3 linked regions of the Drosophila melanogaster genome follow. The protein of the gene in region 1 interacts with the protein of each later gene in a pairwise test. Each region holds a gene or a part of one and is shown in the gene's direction. Other genes may lie near its edges.

Region 1 (6,304 bases):
GATTGGCGAAATCACGCGCGATTTCACCTCCGAGAAGCCCTTCTCTCTCGCCTTTGAGATGTGGGTGAATGTTGAACAGCGGCGCTTCCTTAGCATCTTCCATCACTTTCTGGACGAGGAGACGCACTCAGTTCGCGGTATGCTGTATGCCACCGTGGAGTACAACGACTACATCGTCTTTGACGATCTGCTGACCGACTTCTATTTGGCCAATTGCACACTGGCCATCATAAACTACGACGAGGAAGAGGACCTTTTGCACACCTATCTGCGAGAGAAAAGTGAGTGCATTAGCAAGTCAGAATTATTTACCTTATATAGAATATATATCAAATATTGGACTTCCTAATGAATATGAATCTTTTATTGCAGATATACCCATTTCGCTGTGCTACGTTTCGGTAATTGACAAATGTTTGCGTCGTGTGTTTGAGATCGAAGAGGTGGCCACTTTATTGGAGCAGGTGAAGGACCTAATGCAGCGTCATTCAACGGAGATTGCCTCCAAGGTGTCCGAGGTGCCCATGCCCACGTACAACGAGCACTTCCCCTGGACACTGTACGAAACATTGAAGTTCTTTGCCGAGTCCATATCTTGGTCCGAGGACATGGATCACCTGGTTATATCAGCCAAGACGGTGACGGAGGCCCTGAGTGCTCTGGTGGTAAGCCATCAAGCTAAATGAGACGTTTAAGCAGTTTTCTTATTGTGTGAAATCTTTTAGATTGCTTTGGACACGCTGCGTGGCGAAGACATTCCCTTGTGTAGCATGCTTTCGCCAATCACTTCAAAGATTCTTATCAAGAAGTTGGGCATCGCCGAGCAGGACGATCCCCTAATGATGAATTTGAAGCGGACCATTTCCAGTGTCCTCCAGGCGCACGTTATATCCAATGACAATCTGACCGCTGCTGCATTGTTGGACCCACGCTTCCACCGCCTGACCACCATTGACAACCTAGAGCGAACCGTTCGTATGCTGACCCATAAGTATAACATTAACTTTGGTGGAGTGGGCGAAGGGGAATCCAACGAAGTGGCAGCTACCTCCAGCGTGGTGGCCATTAAGTCAGAACCAAGAGTAGTGGACGGCAGTGCACCAAAGAAGTTGGGTAAGTGCATCGAACTAAATCGATTATCATAAACCATGGACTAAACGAAAATGCCCGTAGGTCTGAAACTGCTGTTTGACAGTAACGAGATACCAAATCCTCCGAAGCGAGATGCGGACAGCAGCGTGGAGTCCGATCTTAAGCGATATCGCAACGAGGTGGTCGTTCAGCTGGATGAGTCGCCCATCGAGTGGTGGCTCAAGATGGGACACATTTATGGAACGCTCCGCGATTTGGCCAGCCTGTACCATAGTGTGCCCGGCGTGGTGACGCTCAGCTTCAAGAAGGCGCTGAGAGACCAAATATACGACTTCAACAAGCGATTCATGCTCACCGGTAGTCACATCGACGCCATCCTCTTTCTTCATCATCACAACAATTAGTCTGCACTGGCGACTACTGTTTCTTATAATGCAAATACTTTTTAATTACTTTTAACGTAATCCGATCTTGTGTATATGAAAATGACTACCAGGGGCGAGGCAAATAGTAATAGCGATTCCGCAGTACTTTTAACCAAAAGACAGCCTTGGGACGTACACGGAACATCTTAAGTTATCGACGTATAAATGTTAAGGGAACATTTTGACATCATATATTCAAATCAAACAGATAATCTAAGAATATTTGTTTAATAAATCCATAACGAAAAAATATCACGCTTATCAAGCTCACTTGTAAATCCCCTTATATCCATTTCAAGAGAACTAATTAAATACTTAACTTAGTTGTACATAATTGATATTTTAATCTTATAAATAAATAAAATGCATCTAACTTTCGTGAATTGTTTTATTGAACTAACTAAAATTAGATATTTTACAATTAATTCAGTATTAAAAAAATTTCTGAACTACGAAACAATTAGTAGTCGGTTTGGAGTTAGCTACTTTATATATTTGACATATTTCTTTAATTTTCAAAATATGTTTTATTTTTTTACTCTGCAGCCCTCGAAATTTCCCTTTTTTAAATCATCGGAAAATTTTCATATTTTTCGTCTGCGACAAACAAAATCTAAATAATCTTCGACATTTGTTTTTTAATTAAGTTAATTTTTTTACTGATAGCTTTTAAACTTTAAAATAAAACAAATAGTAAAAATTTTAAATAATATAAAACCGGGAGGAAGTCTGTATTTTAGTCATTTCGGATTTCGCATTGGCTGGTCACACCAATTAGACGTAGGCACCCGACCCACGAACTGGATTCCTCACAAAAGAAGGGCACGAAAGCCGCGATATTACTGCCAATAGGACTGAAACCAATAGATCGAAGAACTTGCTCTGCCAGCAGGAGATCTCTGAAAATGCGCCTCCAGCGTGGGTGCCACCGCCGTGTCCTGTAATCTGCTGTGAGAGAATTTCTGGCGGAGAAGAGCGGATCGGAGCGGAAGAAAGCGGAAACCCAAGTGAAAACAGAATCGGGGCGGCGGCGTCGACGTCAACGAATCAACGATATCAACCCGGATATTAGGTACTCCGGTGAACAGCACATTTCAAGGAGCATTCCCAAGGAGTGCACCAGAGGCAAAGATGTGCAGCTTGGACGTAAGACGCTTCTTCGAGGAGTGGCGCATCTGGATACGCCCGCTGCTCATTATCACCTATGTCATCTTCGCCATCATCGTGGTCCCGCTGCTCATTGTGAACTCCGTGAAGGATGGCTTCCAGCGCAATGACCAGCTCATTCTCATCGGCGGTCTGTTTGTGTTGTCCGCAGTGCCCGTGTCCATTTGGCATATCATCCAACACGTCATTCATTTTACCAAGCCCATACTGCAGAAGCACATAATCCGCATATTGTGGATGGTGCCTATCTACGCCTTGAACGCGGTAAGTGGGCCACCGATGTGAGCTTCGATATTGCGGAATTGGAGACCACAAGAAACCTAATACTCTCTATTCACTTGCAGTGGATCGGCCTTTTCTTTCCGAAGCACTCCATCTACGTGGACTCACTGCGCGAGTGCTACGAGGCGTACGTTATCTACAACTTCATGGTGTACCTGCTCAACTACTTGAATCTCGGTATGGACCTAGAGGCCACAATGGAGTACAAGCCGCAGGTGCCTCACTTCTTTCCGCTCTGCTGCATGCGGCCGTGGGTGATGGGTCGTGAATTCATCCACAACTGCAAGCACGGCATCCTCCAGTACACGGTCGTGCGCCCCATTACCACCTTTATCTCTGTGTGAGTGTCGGGATGTGCTTTTCCGTTTAACAGTCAACTCTAATCGGAATTTCGTAGCATCTGCGAGCTATGCGGCGTTTACGGCGAGGGCGAGTTTGCGGGCAACGTGGCCTTCCCCTATATTGTGGTGGTCAACAATATATCCCAGTTCGTGGCCATGTATTGCCTGGTGCTATTTTACCGTGCAAACAAGGAGGATCTCAAACCAATGAAGCCTATTCCCAAATTCCTGTGCATCAAGGCTGTGGTGTTTTTCTCGTTTTTGTAAGTACCACATGAAAGCATTTAAGATTGGTTAAGAATATTTTACTCCACCGTAGCCAAGGAGTGCTACTCAACGTACTGGTATACTATAATATTATTAAGGACATCTTTGGGTCGGATGTGGGAGACACCAATCTGGCTTCCCTGCTTCAGGTGAGTGACCTATTTAAAAGCCGAATGGATCTGGCAATAAGTTATTTCTATAAGTAAAGAGCTAATATGTAAATTAAGCATGATTTTTTCATACCAACCTTATCTTATAACCGAAAACAGTCCCAAGTTCGTTTAATACTGATGACTAAGAGTTTTTATCAAGCATAACTTCCAAATTTGCAAACACAACAAATGAAACCGAAGTGAAAGTTTCCAAAAACCAATTCAAATATGTATGTATTTGTTATCGCCAACCAGAATTTCCTCATCTGCATCGAAATGTTTATCGCGGCCGTGGCTCACATCTACAGCTTCCCGCACCATCCGTTTCACATCAACTCGCCGCAGTACTGGAACAACCCGAACCATAGCTGGTGTCGCGCCTTCCTCTCCATGATGGACATATCCGACATGCAGGAGGATGTCACCGAGCATCTGGGCGTCGTGGGCAGTTCACTGAGTCGTCGCTTCCAGGGACGCAGCACATACCAGCCGCTGGCGCGCAGTCCTCGCCGCTCCAGCAGTGAGTCCGAGTATCTGATCAGCAAGCGGCAAGATCAGCAGCTGCCGGGCAACTCGTCACAATCAGGTAACATGTATGGTGCAACGTCCAGTCGCCTGATCGTGCCTGTGTATGATGGCAAGCTGAATACACTGCCCGAAAGTCAATCTACTCACTCCCAATCTCGATTTCCTTTAGCAGGCGTGGCCGACGATGGGAACAGTAGCAATAGCAACTACCAACAACAACAACTACACTTGCCGGGAGCGGCAGGCTCTCAGCCGTCGACCCGTCAACGCGACACACTGCATCTTCGCGAGCGCGAAAGGGATCCGGGTGCGGGTGCTGGCGGCGGTGGCAGTTTCCTGCGCCTGCCCCCTGGTGCCGCGTCGGCAGCGGCGCCAATTCCCGAGTCCAACGATGATTATGCCCTGCTGTTGGGTGCGGGCGCAGGCAGGTGACACCGCTACCAACAATATCACTACCAGCAACATCAGCACCCGCACATTGACGACGCTTTCGAGGACGAAGATGGCGTGGACGTGAGCCAGCAGTTGAATGCCTCGTCACTCAGCGCCTCGCTATCCGTATCGTTTGGCATGTCAAGCAGCCTCAAGTTTAGTGCCACTGGCAGCAATCAGTCGGCGTCCGAGTGGTCGAACTCAACGGGCGGGGATAATGACGCTGACGACGGTGACTTGGACGTGGACGGAGAGGATGGAGACGCTGAAGATGACGGTGCTGGTGTGCAACCCGTGGTCTTTATTGCCTCCACGACGCGGCGACGCCGCGATCGAGAGTACATCACCTAGACGCGCTGACCTTAAAGCCCCTTATCAGTTATATGCTATGCTTATATTTATTGTTTTTCCCCATCCCATATCTTGATTTGTGCTAGGCTTAGAATACTCATGAAACGAACACTTTCTAGCGGCCCATCAAATGGGGCATTTGAATTGTGGCCTTAGTTTTCATAGCGAAAGCAACTTATTTTAGATCGCCATTCACTGTAATCGCTGCTCCTGATAGCGCGCACAAGTGAATCCACACATCCCTTAGCATCCCAAAGAATCATCATTGAATATAGGGGTCAGATATTTTGTAAGTACTTTTTATGTGCTGATTGTTTGTGAACAGACCTTCCCGAAACGATATTTTTACTCTATACATCCCTGCTAGGTGACCCCGCATAGTTATGTAGGTCTCCAACTTTTTGTGTGGCGAAGTAGTTAATTAAAAAAAAACATGCCTGAACCGATTGTGAATTTTGTGACTGCCGCCGGTCAGAAAAGGGCGTGACTTGTATTTAAATAGAAATTCTTATTGTAAAACTAATATACACATCAATAATATAATATTGGAAAATAATCGAAACCGCCTTTTATGTTTTAATCTCGTACAATTCGTGATTATTTTCATTTGCTACTGCACCCATTTGTGTACTAACATTGTGCATATCATTCCAATTTTCGACACTAATGCTTTTGTTTATGTATTTGTTGCTTTTGTTAATATGTGATAAGAAATTTGAATTTTGTTGGTCATTTAAAATCCCCTAACATTGTTTTAGGATCATCTAGTTGGGTGACATGAGATAAAATAATGATGAGAACTACATTCCACGCTTGCAAGTAGAGAATACGACTTCATTTCATTTGTAACATTTATTGAAATATTTGTTTAAGCACTTCGAATCCTATGTCTTTTCATAATACTTGCTTTTTTACATTTTTGAACAAAGATACGGAACATAACAGAAGACCTAAAGGAAAAAGTTGACGAAAACGAAGACAATGTGTGACATATACATGGATACACAAGTAGACCGAAGTACATTTAAAGGCATTCACGGAATTCTCGTTACGAACATACATAAATCAAATCGAGTACTAAACACTGATAATAGAAAGAAAAACAAGTAAACCGAATATCAATCAACATCAATTAAAAACAAATTCAGTCCAGTGATTACTTCTCGTGCTGCGAGTGCATAACTATAGCAAATCCCAGTAAATTTCAATGTGGCATGCCCCTCATTTCGAATGGCATTCCCCATCCATTGCTTTTAGAATACATATA
Region 2 (4,528 bases), on another chromosome or scaffold:
TGACTATCCGCTTCTGTCAGCAATCGCGTTAATGGGTAATTAATCATGCGCTGTCTTAATTTCTCAACTTTATTCGATCTTACCAAATTAAATAGACTTTTGAAACTAGCAGAGCATTCGCTGTTCGTATTTCCGGTCTGTTTTACGAATTCGATCACCGATGAGACGTGAATAATTACTGGGTGAATGAGCTAATTTGCATATGCTTAGCATAATTACATTAGTGCAAGCATTCGATTCGGATGAATTTCGAAATGTATGAATGATTTCGCGGCTTCGTCTCTCCTTTTATTTCCTCAGCTCCCAAATTGGCTCCATCGAGGGCCCAAATAAATCAAAATCAAATCTAGATTAGGCAACCGCAGGCTAAGATTTCACTTTCGTTGCCATAAAATACTGATCACATGCTGTGCCCGGTGAAAGGCGATGGATTCCCCTGTTTAAAATCAAATTTCGAGTCGAATGTAAGCAATTGCAGTTCTCTTGTCTTCGACGGACCATTATGAATCGAAAAATAACAACACACACGACACAATATGTTGAAAAGATCGACTTAATCACCTTTTATGGATATCTGGGAATGATATGTTCAAAACACCTTCCGCGTTCACAAATCACAAAACTATTCGAAGATGCTGAAGACTCGAAGACCGGCGAGATTATAAGCGGCGCTCGACCCGCACACCTTGGTTTTATAGAGTCTGGAGCTGGACCGTGGGACATATGGCCAAAACTGGATGGGCCACCAATTTGAAACTTTTGGAATACCGACAAGAGCATATTCATCTTCATTTCGACGGGCTATCTGGTTTATGGGTCTATAGCTGTCTCCATTATATGCATGCTTAGTAATTGTCGATTGCCTAATGTGTTGGTGGCTATAACAACGCATATTAACTCATTTGAAACAAAAGAGAAAATAGTCAAACATGTTTTTAAATAGTTAATAATTGATGAGATCGAAGTCACAGTTGTAGCGCCTATAGGATTACAAATTTCAATGCAGCAAGCAAAGTTTTAGGAAAGTTTTTAAAGCGTCTCTAAGTAGTTTGTACTATTATATCCCTTGTAAATAAATAACACTTTGATTTTTATGTAAATAATACAATTACAGAATGATAAAGATGCAGACGGATGAATAATGGTCTCGACTTTCAATAACTATAAATTGAAATTGAACCATGAAGAGATTGATTAGTGGCCAATTTATTTGCATTTCAATTAACAGATTCGTGGAATCTGAATTTGTTGTTGCGTCTACTAAAAAGTTCATTGACTGCTGAAATCCCTTATGGACTTACCTACATATTTGCAAAATTTCAAGATGATCCCTCATTACTACTTCGAATATATACTACCTGTAGTATATGCTAGACTACCGCAATGGAAATTACCAAACAACTCACTTAGCACTTGGTTTACAGCAATTTGGCCAAGTCTTCCAACGGGCCTATCTATCTATCTGTCTATGTATCTTTCCATCTACGTATCTATCTATCAACGCTGTTGCAACTTTTATGGGCGCCACAAAGTATGACTGTGATTAATCATGCCTGCGCTGAAGACAAAACCTGAAGACTAAACGATAAGTTGGCATTAGAGGGGCGTTTACGATGCTCCATGGGCATATGGGCTTGGGTGTTTTTTTCTGAACTGGGCCAGTGGGGATTTCGAATTAACAGAGATACGAGAACCCACCGCCGAATCGCAACGATACGAAACGGGGCATTTGACAAGTTTATTGGGCAAACAAAGCGCACCCCGACTTTTCCTACCAACGTCGGCTTATCGAGGAGACCCAACCCGGAATATGAATACTACGGATAGTACGTTTGAGTGCTGCTGGCCAAGTGCGAATTCAAGGCCTCGTAGAAATCTACGAGTATTTGCACTTTTCTTGCGAAAGTAAGTCGCTTTGGTAAACTTCTATTTGCGTTTGCAATCAGAAGGAGAGTTTGCCGGTGCCTATAAAAGATCGTTCCATGGTTCTGGCGGCATTAGTTGGTGCGGATTTGGGTTTTCGTCATGTTCAAGTTGCTACTTTGCTGCCTTCTACTAACCATCGACAGTGGATGGGCCTTTAATCATGGCCAGGATCTAGTGGACTTTCAAACTTACGAGGTATGTGAGTCATCAAGAAAACAAAGTCTGGATGGGATTTAATTAGAAATTATATCTTGTATCTTATGGCATTGAAAAGGATTGTATTGAGTAATGGAATTCAAATCTTTCCATTTACAGGACAATTTCAACAAGACCTATGCCTCAACTTCGGCTCGCAACTTCGCCAACTACTACTTCATCTACAACCGCAACCAGGTGGCGCAGCACAATGCCCAGGCCGATAGGAATCGCACCACCTACCGCGAGGCAGTGAATCAGTTCTCGGACATCCGGCTCATCCAGTTCGCAGCCCTGCTGCCCAAAGCCGTGAATACGGTGACCTCGGCGGCCAGTGATCCACCGGCCAGTCAAGCGGCATCTGCCAGCTTTGACATTATCACGGATTTCGGACTCACCGTGGCGGTGGAGGATCAGGGCGTGAACTGCAGCAGTAGTTGGGCCTATGCCACCGCCAAGGCCGTGGAGATCATGAATGCCGTGCAGACAGCCAATCCTCTGCCCTCGTCCTTGTCCGCCCAGCAGCTGCTGGACTGTGCGGGCATGGGCACCGGATGCAGCACCCAGACGCCCCTGGCTGCCCTCAACTATCTCACCCAGCTGACAGATGCGTATCTCTATCCGGAGGTGGACTATCCGAATAACAATAGCCTGAAAACGCCGGGTATGTGCCAGCCCCCATCCTCTGTGTCAGTGGGCGTGAAGTTGGCCGGCTATTCCACGGTGGCCGACAACGATGATGCCGCCGTAATGCGTTACGTATCGAATGGATTCCCCGTCATAGTCGAGTACAATCCGGCTACCTTTGGATTCATGCAGTACTCCAGTGGCGTCTATGTCCAGGAGACGCGTGCCCTGACCAATCCAAAGAGCTCACAGTTCCTGGTGGTCGTGGGCTACGATCACGACGTGGACTCCAATCTGGACTACTGGCGCTGCCTGAACTCCTTCGGCGACACGTGGGGCGAGGAGGGTTACATCAGGATCGTGCGCAGGTCCAATCAGCCCATTGCCAAGAATGCCGTCTTTCCCAGTGCGCTTGCCTAAGAAGGATTCCGATTTGACCTTATTTCAAGTTAATAAACTTAAGTTTTATGTGTAAATTTTTATATGATGATTTTGTTTCGGATTCAGTAGATGCTGTAAGTTCTTTAAAAAAACTTAATGCTAGTAAGCAATACTATTATTATTATTATAGACGCATTATCTTTAAATCAACTAGAATTCGAGTAACAGATTCGGGAATATCTATAATAACACTATGATGATACCTTAAGAGTGTGCCTATCTATATCTATGATAGTTCATAGAATAGAAGAATAGTAATAGAACCATCCAAGAAATAGATTTGGGAATATCTCAAATAAAGCTAAGATAATTCATCGAGATCTTGAATATTACATAAAGAGTAATCTTGAAAAAAAATCCCCCGTCTTCTACCAAAAAGTATCGTTTGGTTTTTTGTTGTGAAAGCTTACAGCTTTTTTGTCTCCATTTATTGAATTTACCATTTTATTTAGTTTATTTATTGATTTTTCATCTACAAGCGGAGCTTTACAGACTTAAATGCTAAAAATTAACAAGTTCACTTTATTTTCTTTTCTTTTCTTGTTTTTCGCATCTTTGATCTGCTTATGGATTTTATACTATTATCTTTGCAGTGTTTTCTTTTTCTGTTATGTTTCTCTTGCATAATAAATAAGTTTCCCATTTTGTTGCTATCCGTGTTGCTGTGATATAAAAACGAAAGGAAATTATATAGATATATATAATATTTAGGTATTATATTTATGGTTATAGAATATTCGACTCAGCCAGCGCAGACAAAAGCTTCTTTTTTTTGGTGTGTGTTCTTTCTGTAGATTTCTTAATCTTAGTTCTCGTAAATTTTTTAAGTTTCAGTAACTTGTTTGGAAACGTTGTTATTATAAATACTTCTCGTTATTATATTTCAATTGCGTTAAATAATTTGAAATATATGTATGTACGTTGTGTTTGCATTTTGTTTTGTTTTAGTTTAGGTTTTTAGTTTTTAGTTTTTATTTTTGGTTTAGAATGTCTTCCCGTCTTCTTGTGAAGCAAAGCTCAATGATATGATTCACGCTGAAAGGTGATTTAACGATTTTTATTATTTCAATAATTTTGCAGTTTATAAAGATTGCGTGATCTTGTGTTTTATTAGGTTTTTCTTTGTTTTTTGTTTTTTGTTCTGGATGTGCTTGAGTTGCAATATTTAGGGTACTTCCTTGGAAAATCGTTGCGGATGAAGAACAAAATCGAAATTATCCATCGTAATCGGTTTAGTTGTGGAACCTTAAGTACTGTGACTAGTTAATGGGGTATTGATTTTAAATTTCCTTCTTTTTCGCCATTTAATTACTCTCTTATTTTTTCACTATTACGATAC
Region 3 (5,332 bases), on another chromosome or scaffold:
GAACATGCTCTACGGCTGTTTAAACTTTGGAGATGGTTAATAAATTTATTTTGTTTATTTTCGGCCGGGTCACGCTTTCCCCAAATGACCCTCGTCATAAAACGCGCGAGAATCTCTGGGTAAATATAAATATAAGAATTGCACGCTTTGGTTTTTGTGCATGAAAAGTTTACTTCGCATTTCGGTTTCGGCCAATTGTTTTTCTTGGCCCTATCACCTTTCACTGCGAAATATGTCTAAACGAGAATGTTTTGTGAATCCATTAAGACGCAATAGAGAATTTTCCTATAGCTCGTAGAGCGTTCGGTGATGTCTCCGCAGCACTGGATTGGAAATGTATATATCTTTCTACTTGGCCACCTGATAGGCGAAACAGCTTTTCCCCTTCGAAAATCTCAAATTGTTCAATTCCGCTTCCAAGAATGCGGAACGGCCAGCAGGCGGTCAGGCAAAAGTTTTTAGGAGCCGAAACAGCTGTTCATTTGGCTGGTGACTGACTTGCTCTGCAATTAAAGCGATTTTTTTCGCGGAAGAAGGCCCTATTCGAATAGTTTGGATACACTCGAATTCTTGGGAGTAAATATTGAAGAACTTCTTCAAAATTCTCCTGCTCAGTTCTAAAACCAAAACAATGGGATTTACTTAGGTTCCGTTTCATATGTGTGTGAGTGTAAGCTTGTACTTGAGAACAAGTGCGTTTATTTTTAGCCGAGTATTGAATTAATTTTCGTACGGACTTGTAAAGGAGCTTACATTATTTTCGTAGAGCAACCTGGCAACCTGTTGAAGGGGCTTGCAACTCGAACCGCGTTCGCTGCCAGCATCGAGCACGTTGCACGTGGCAAGCAGCAATTGTGTGTTTACTCAATATTCTCGGCGTGCCGCAGATTGTGCCTTCCAGAAAGCAAAATAAACAAATAAAAGTTCCATGAAAAGGTATCATTTGTCAAGCGACAGCCGACAAATGAATACACATATGCATGTATGTATGTATGTATGTATGTCCTATGTACCCAACGACTTAGCGGCTTAAGTAGCTGCTCTAAATAATAAATTCAATTGTAATCAGAATCGTTTATGTAAATATTCAAATCGTCAATTTACCCGGACAGAGAGTGAGATAGAGAGAGTGTAAGAGTGTGACGTGGGGGGGGGGGGGGGTGGAATTGTCCTCCAATAATCCGCGAGGCAAGCAAAAGTCTGGGAGGGGGGGGGGTGGCAGGTGTAGATAAGCACCCCATTAAGACAACAATAAGCTCAACAAGTTGTTCTGGAAAACTGTCAATTAGAACCACCAACACGCACTGTGGCAGCAACAATTGTTCGAATGAAAACACAACATGCTGCATGTTGCACGCTCGAACATAGCCTTGCCATGGAATCGATGTTGCATCAGAGGTGTAGATGGGGGCTATTAGGAATTGCAGCGTAACTAAATAGTATTAGAACTTAAACGCAGAGCAGAGAACAAAGAAATGTGCACTCCGAAGCTGCGGAGTTCTCAAATAAAATGAAGCTAGCATTTTAGTAGAACTATTACTTGCTATTAAGTATGTACAATAATCTCAATAATAAGAACTAAATAATAATAATGAATTGGTTTGATGATGAAGCAAGCTCCTTGGGCAGTCATGAGCATACCAATGCAATTCTTTCGCTCTCGAAAGCGGCGCCTCTGTTTGAAGTCGCACTGCCTGTGAGTAGCGGCTGCAACGCAACATGTTCGATGGTTCGATGGTTCGAAGGTTCGATGCCTTCGGTTTTGGTTGGGCGGCGAGTGGGCTGCGCTAGCATCCGCTGGTCAGTCGCTCGCGGAGCGTCGTCGTGAACGGTCAGCCAGCGCGGCTAATAAGTAACCAACTGTAGTGACAGTGCGATAGTGACTCTGATCCGAACCCGAATCCCAGGCCCACAACAGATACGTCCAGCGTGTGGGCAGCCAGAACAGAGTGACAAGAATATCGGAGCCGACAACAACAGTAAACTGAAAGATAGAAAGAAAGAAAGAAAGGCCAACCTGCCGATTAAATTCCAATTGAGTGTTACGAGTTTTTTTTTCGAGTGAGTGCGGCGGTAAATATTTCGATCTTCTTCCCTTTTTTTTTTTTTTGCTGTGCCACCAACAGAAACCGAAAAATGCAAAAATTAAAAACCAATCAGTGAAAATCGCCAAAATTGCCAAAATATCAAATAGAAAAATATGGAAAATAGTTGAATCGAAGAAACGCAGACCGCAAAAATTTATAGAAAGAAAACAAACACACAACACACACACAAAGAAAAAACAAAAGGGGCAGACAGAAAGAAAGCGCTTTTATTATTTTATTTAACGATTTTTCTTCTTGCAATTTTTATTTTGCACACTTTGTTGTTGGGTCAGTCAGTTGGCGGCTTTCGCCACTTTACGAGCAACTTCCTTTTTTGGCCGGAGAAAAACCAGTCTGGCCAAGAGACCAAAAGACCCCTGGCCAAAAGACGTCGGTCGGTGGGCACCAAACACTGCGAATGTAAACAAAACAGCAGCAAACCGTATTTGTTTATGACTCGGCTTGGCCAGGATAAAGCCCAGAGACTTTGAGACCAACTAAATCCCACACCCCCAACCGCCAATCCCGCCCTCACCAAAAATATGATTTGCTAGCATTTCCCCCCATTCCCCGGCCGAGATTCTCAAGTGCGAGAGTTGCAAAAAAAAATGTGGTCCCCCCTCCCCCCTTTTATTGCCGCACCGCGTTGAAACGACACCCGGTGAAAGTTTCCCAGTCGCAACTTAGAACTCTCTTCATTTTCGGGTTTCTTTATTTTTTGCTTGATAAATGAGTCGCTGGCATAGCCCCCGGGGCGGTAAATCATCTCTGCTTGTGGCACTGACAATTTCACAAATTTATATATTTGCCACAACAACCGACCGAAACACTCACAGTCGAAAGTTTTCCACTTCGAGTGCAAATTTGACTGGCTTGGAAAAGTCCAGGCGAGCAAATTGGCCAGAGGTGTTGCCAACGAAAAAAAAAAAAAAAAATGAATTGGTAACGAAAACAATTGACGAAATCGGAAGTGACAGCATGATAGTTCAAGTTCAAACACGCATAATAACTTCATTGAAAACTGTAAACTTGAGAGTAAACAATAGTTTTCAAAGATTTCACGAAGTGTCTTCAGTTCAGCATATTAAATATACCCAAATACGGTTTCAAATTGACATAGATTAGTAATTTAACATAGGAACAGTTAAAAAAGTTAACCAGCTGGTGTGATAATATCTATGAAATTGTTGGTTTCTGGAACTTGAGAGATTCGCAAGTTCTAGCAAGCAGCGGTTGTTAATGCATATGAATACGAGACATCGAGCAATTTCGAAGATATTCCACGCCAGTTATCGCCCCCCCCGCCAGTAACTGGAGGCCAGCTCTAGCTCCCATTTTTAACTGGTTACCCCGCTCGAGAATTCACCATGTCGGCTCTCGGTTTTTTCCTTCGCTTTTCGCTTACTCCACACAACACAAATCGAATTGAATGGCAATCTGGAATATGCCAGGCAGATCCAATTGCATGCCACATATGCAGATGTAATGGGAGAGTTGGCCCACTCGCCACCCCCTTGTAAGCCCCCATCGAAACACCAACACACCCCCCCCCCCCCGGCCGCTTACAAAAATTAAGCCCCCTTAGCCGCCCCGCCAACTGTACCGCTGATCTGCTTGCCTCATTGCCGGTTAGAAAGCCAATGGAACGAGTTTCGTTGAGTGTGCAACTAATTTTCTAAATTGTTGTCGCTGCTGATCGTTGAGCGTGGCAAAAAAAAAGTAAATAAATAAAAAATACACACATTATTTATATGGCCAACGTCGCACAAAGAAATTATCTGTCACCAACATTGGTCATCAATTTTGATGGGTTTTCGGCGTCTAGAATAAGCCCTTTTATCACTGACGTTTTAATCAGATCTCTTCTTCAGAAGTATACAAAATCACGGTATGATCTTGCTTGAAGATGATTTCATTTTGCTAAAACGTGTTTTAATTCACTTTTAAATCATGAATCATAAATATAGGTATTTATGTGACTATTTTATATAGGGTAATACGATAATACAGAATCGTATATACGTACGTACTTTTGTAAAATAAAAAAAATTTAAAAACGGAATAATAAAATGTATATTTATGGAAATTTTTGAACGATGGCATATTTAAATAGATAAATAATTATGAGAGTGTGGGTGATAAGGCAAAGATTTTAGATTCAAAACCATCCATTCATCATTGCGAAGATCGAACTGTCATTTTTGCGATTGATTGATTGAATTTTAATAAAAGTCTTTGAAGTCGGACTTATTTATTATTTTTTTTTTTTATTGGGTTTTTCTTCTCTTGCGAGTGCGTCGTCATCATTTAATGGTGAAGATAGAAGAAGAATTATCCGAGCCCATAGAAGGCGAAGAAGAGGAAGAAGACAGGGCTAAAGAGACAGAGCGAGAAAGAGAGTAGGAGAAAGGGAGAGAGGGATAGAGAAATGTTAATGGATTAGGAAGCGAGCTCAAAAGGCAGCGTAGAAGAAGAATCGAATCTCGGCTACTTGCGACATTAGCCCTCTCCCTCCCACTCCCGCCCGATGAAGGCGGGCGCGAAAGAGAGGGGACGAGAGGGAGAGCGAGAGCGGAATTGAATGGCCAAAGGAAAGGTGAAAAGAGGCAACTTGGCTTAGACGATGATGATGACTGTTTCTTCTGTTTGTGTACGTATGTGTGTGTGTGTGTGCGGACAAACAGGTATCACGCACACACCTACAGACACACTCACACCTGTGCGGAATAACTAAGCAGCGACCCGATTTTCAACAGAGAGCCAGTGAGAGAGATAAGAAGAGAAGAAACAGAGCCAAGAATCCGATCCATGCCATGCGCCTAAAACTATTACAAATCTATAACAAATCTACCACGAATCTACAAACCACAAGAGATCTTTTCACAGATCAATTTTATTGGGATTATTCAAAAATTTCCAGTTTCTGTAGTGGGGTGATTAAAGGAACCTGCATATATGTTAAATGTTTCAAGTCATTTCATTTCATTTTTATTTTAATATTTTAAATCACATTTCTTGTGACACGTGTTACTTCAAAGATTATCCATCAATGTAATTTGTTGATAACTTATCTTTTACATTAGACAATAAAATAAATTGCGTTCCATTTAACAATCAAACGATTTGGTAGTAAAAAGGTATGAAACTCCAACGATATTATGACTACGTTTTCGTTTTGAATAGATAAAAGTGCTTCTGTTAGCTTTCTGATTCTTCTAATTAGTTATTTCAATTCCGATTGATGG

The links. The genes of interacting proteins can lie anywhere in the genome.
Region 2: the proteins of CG5850 (region 1) and CG6337 interact in a two-hybrid assay, tested with the Drosophila melanogaster proteins (one large-scale study listed by BioGRID).
Region 3: the proteins of CG5850 (region 1) and mgl interact in a two-hybrid assay, tested with the Drosophila melanogaster proteins (one large-scale study listed by BioGRID).

Annotation. Positions count from the first base shown.
Region 1 is NT_033779.5:9,959,737-9,966,040, reverse strand, and holds CG5850 (uncharacterized protein), read left to right. Parts: upstream 1-2,285; 5' UTR 2,286-2,648; coding exon 2,649-2,948; intron 2,949-3,028; coding exon 3,029-3,306; intron 3,307-3,363; coding exon 3,364-3,570; intron 3,571-3,626; coding exon 3,627-3,723; intron 3,724-3,936; exon of another isoform or gene 3,937-3,981; coding exon 3,982-4,686; coding exon of another isoform or gene 4,687-5,037; 3' UTR 5,038-5,591; downstream 5,592-6,304. Other genes in the region: Dref (DNA replication-related element factor), read left to right, coding at 1-281, 373-665, 726-1,113, 1,174-1,496.
Region 2 is NT_033778.4:13,832,560-13,837,087, reverse strand, and holds CG6337 (uncharacterized protein), read left to right. Parts: upstream 1-1,991; 5' UTR 1,992-2,025; coding exon 2,026-2,121; intron 2,122-2,241; coding exon 2,242-3,168; 3' UTR 3,169-3,513; downstream 3,514-4,528.
Region 3 is NC_004354.4:9,496,615-9,501,946, reverse strand, and holds the start of mgl (megalin), read left to right. Parts: upstream 1-1,817; 5' UTR 1,818-2,073; intron 2,074-5,332.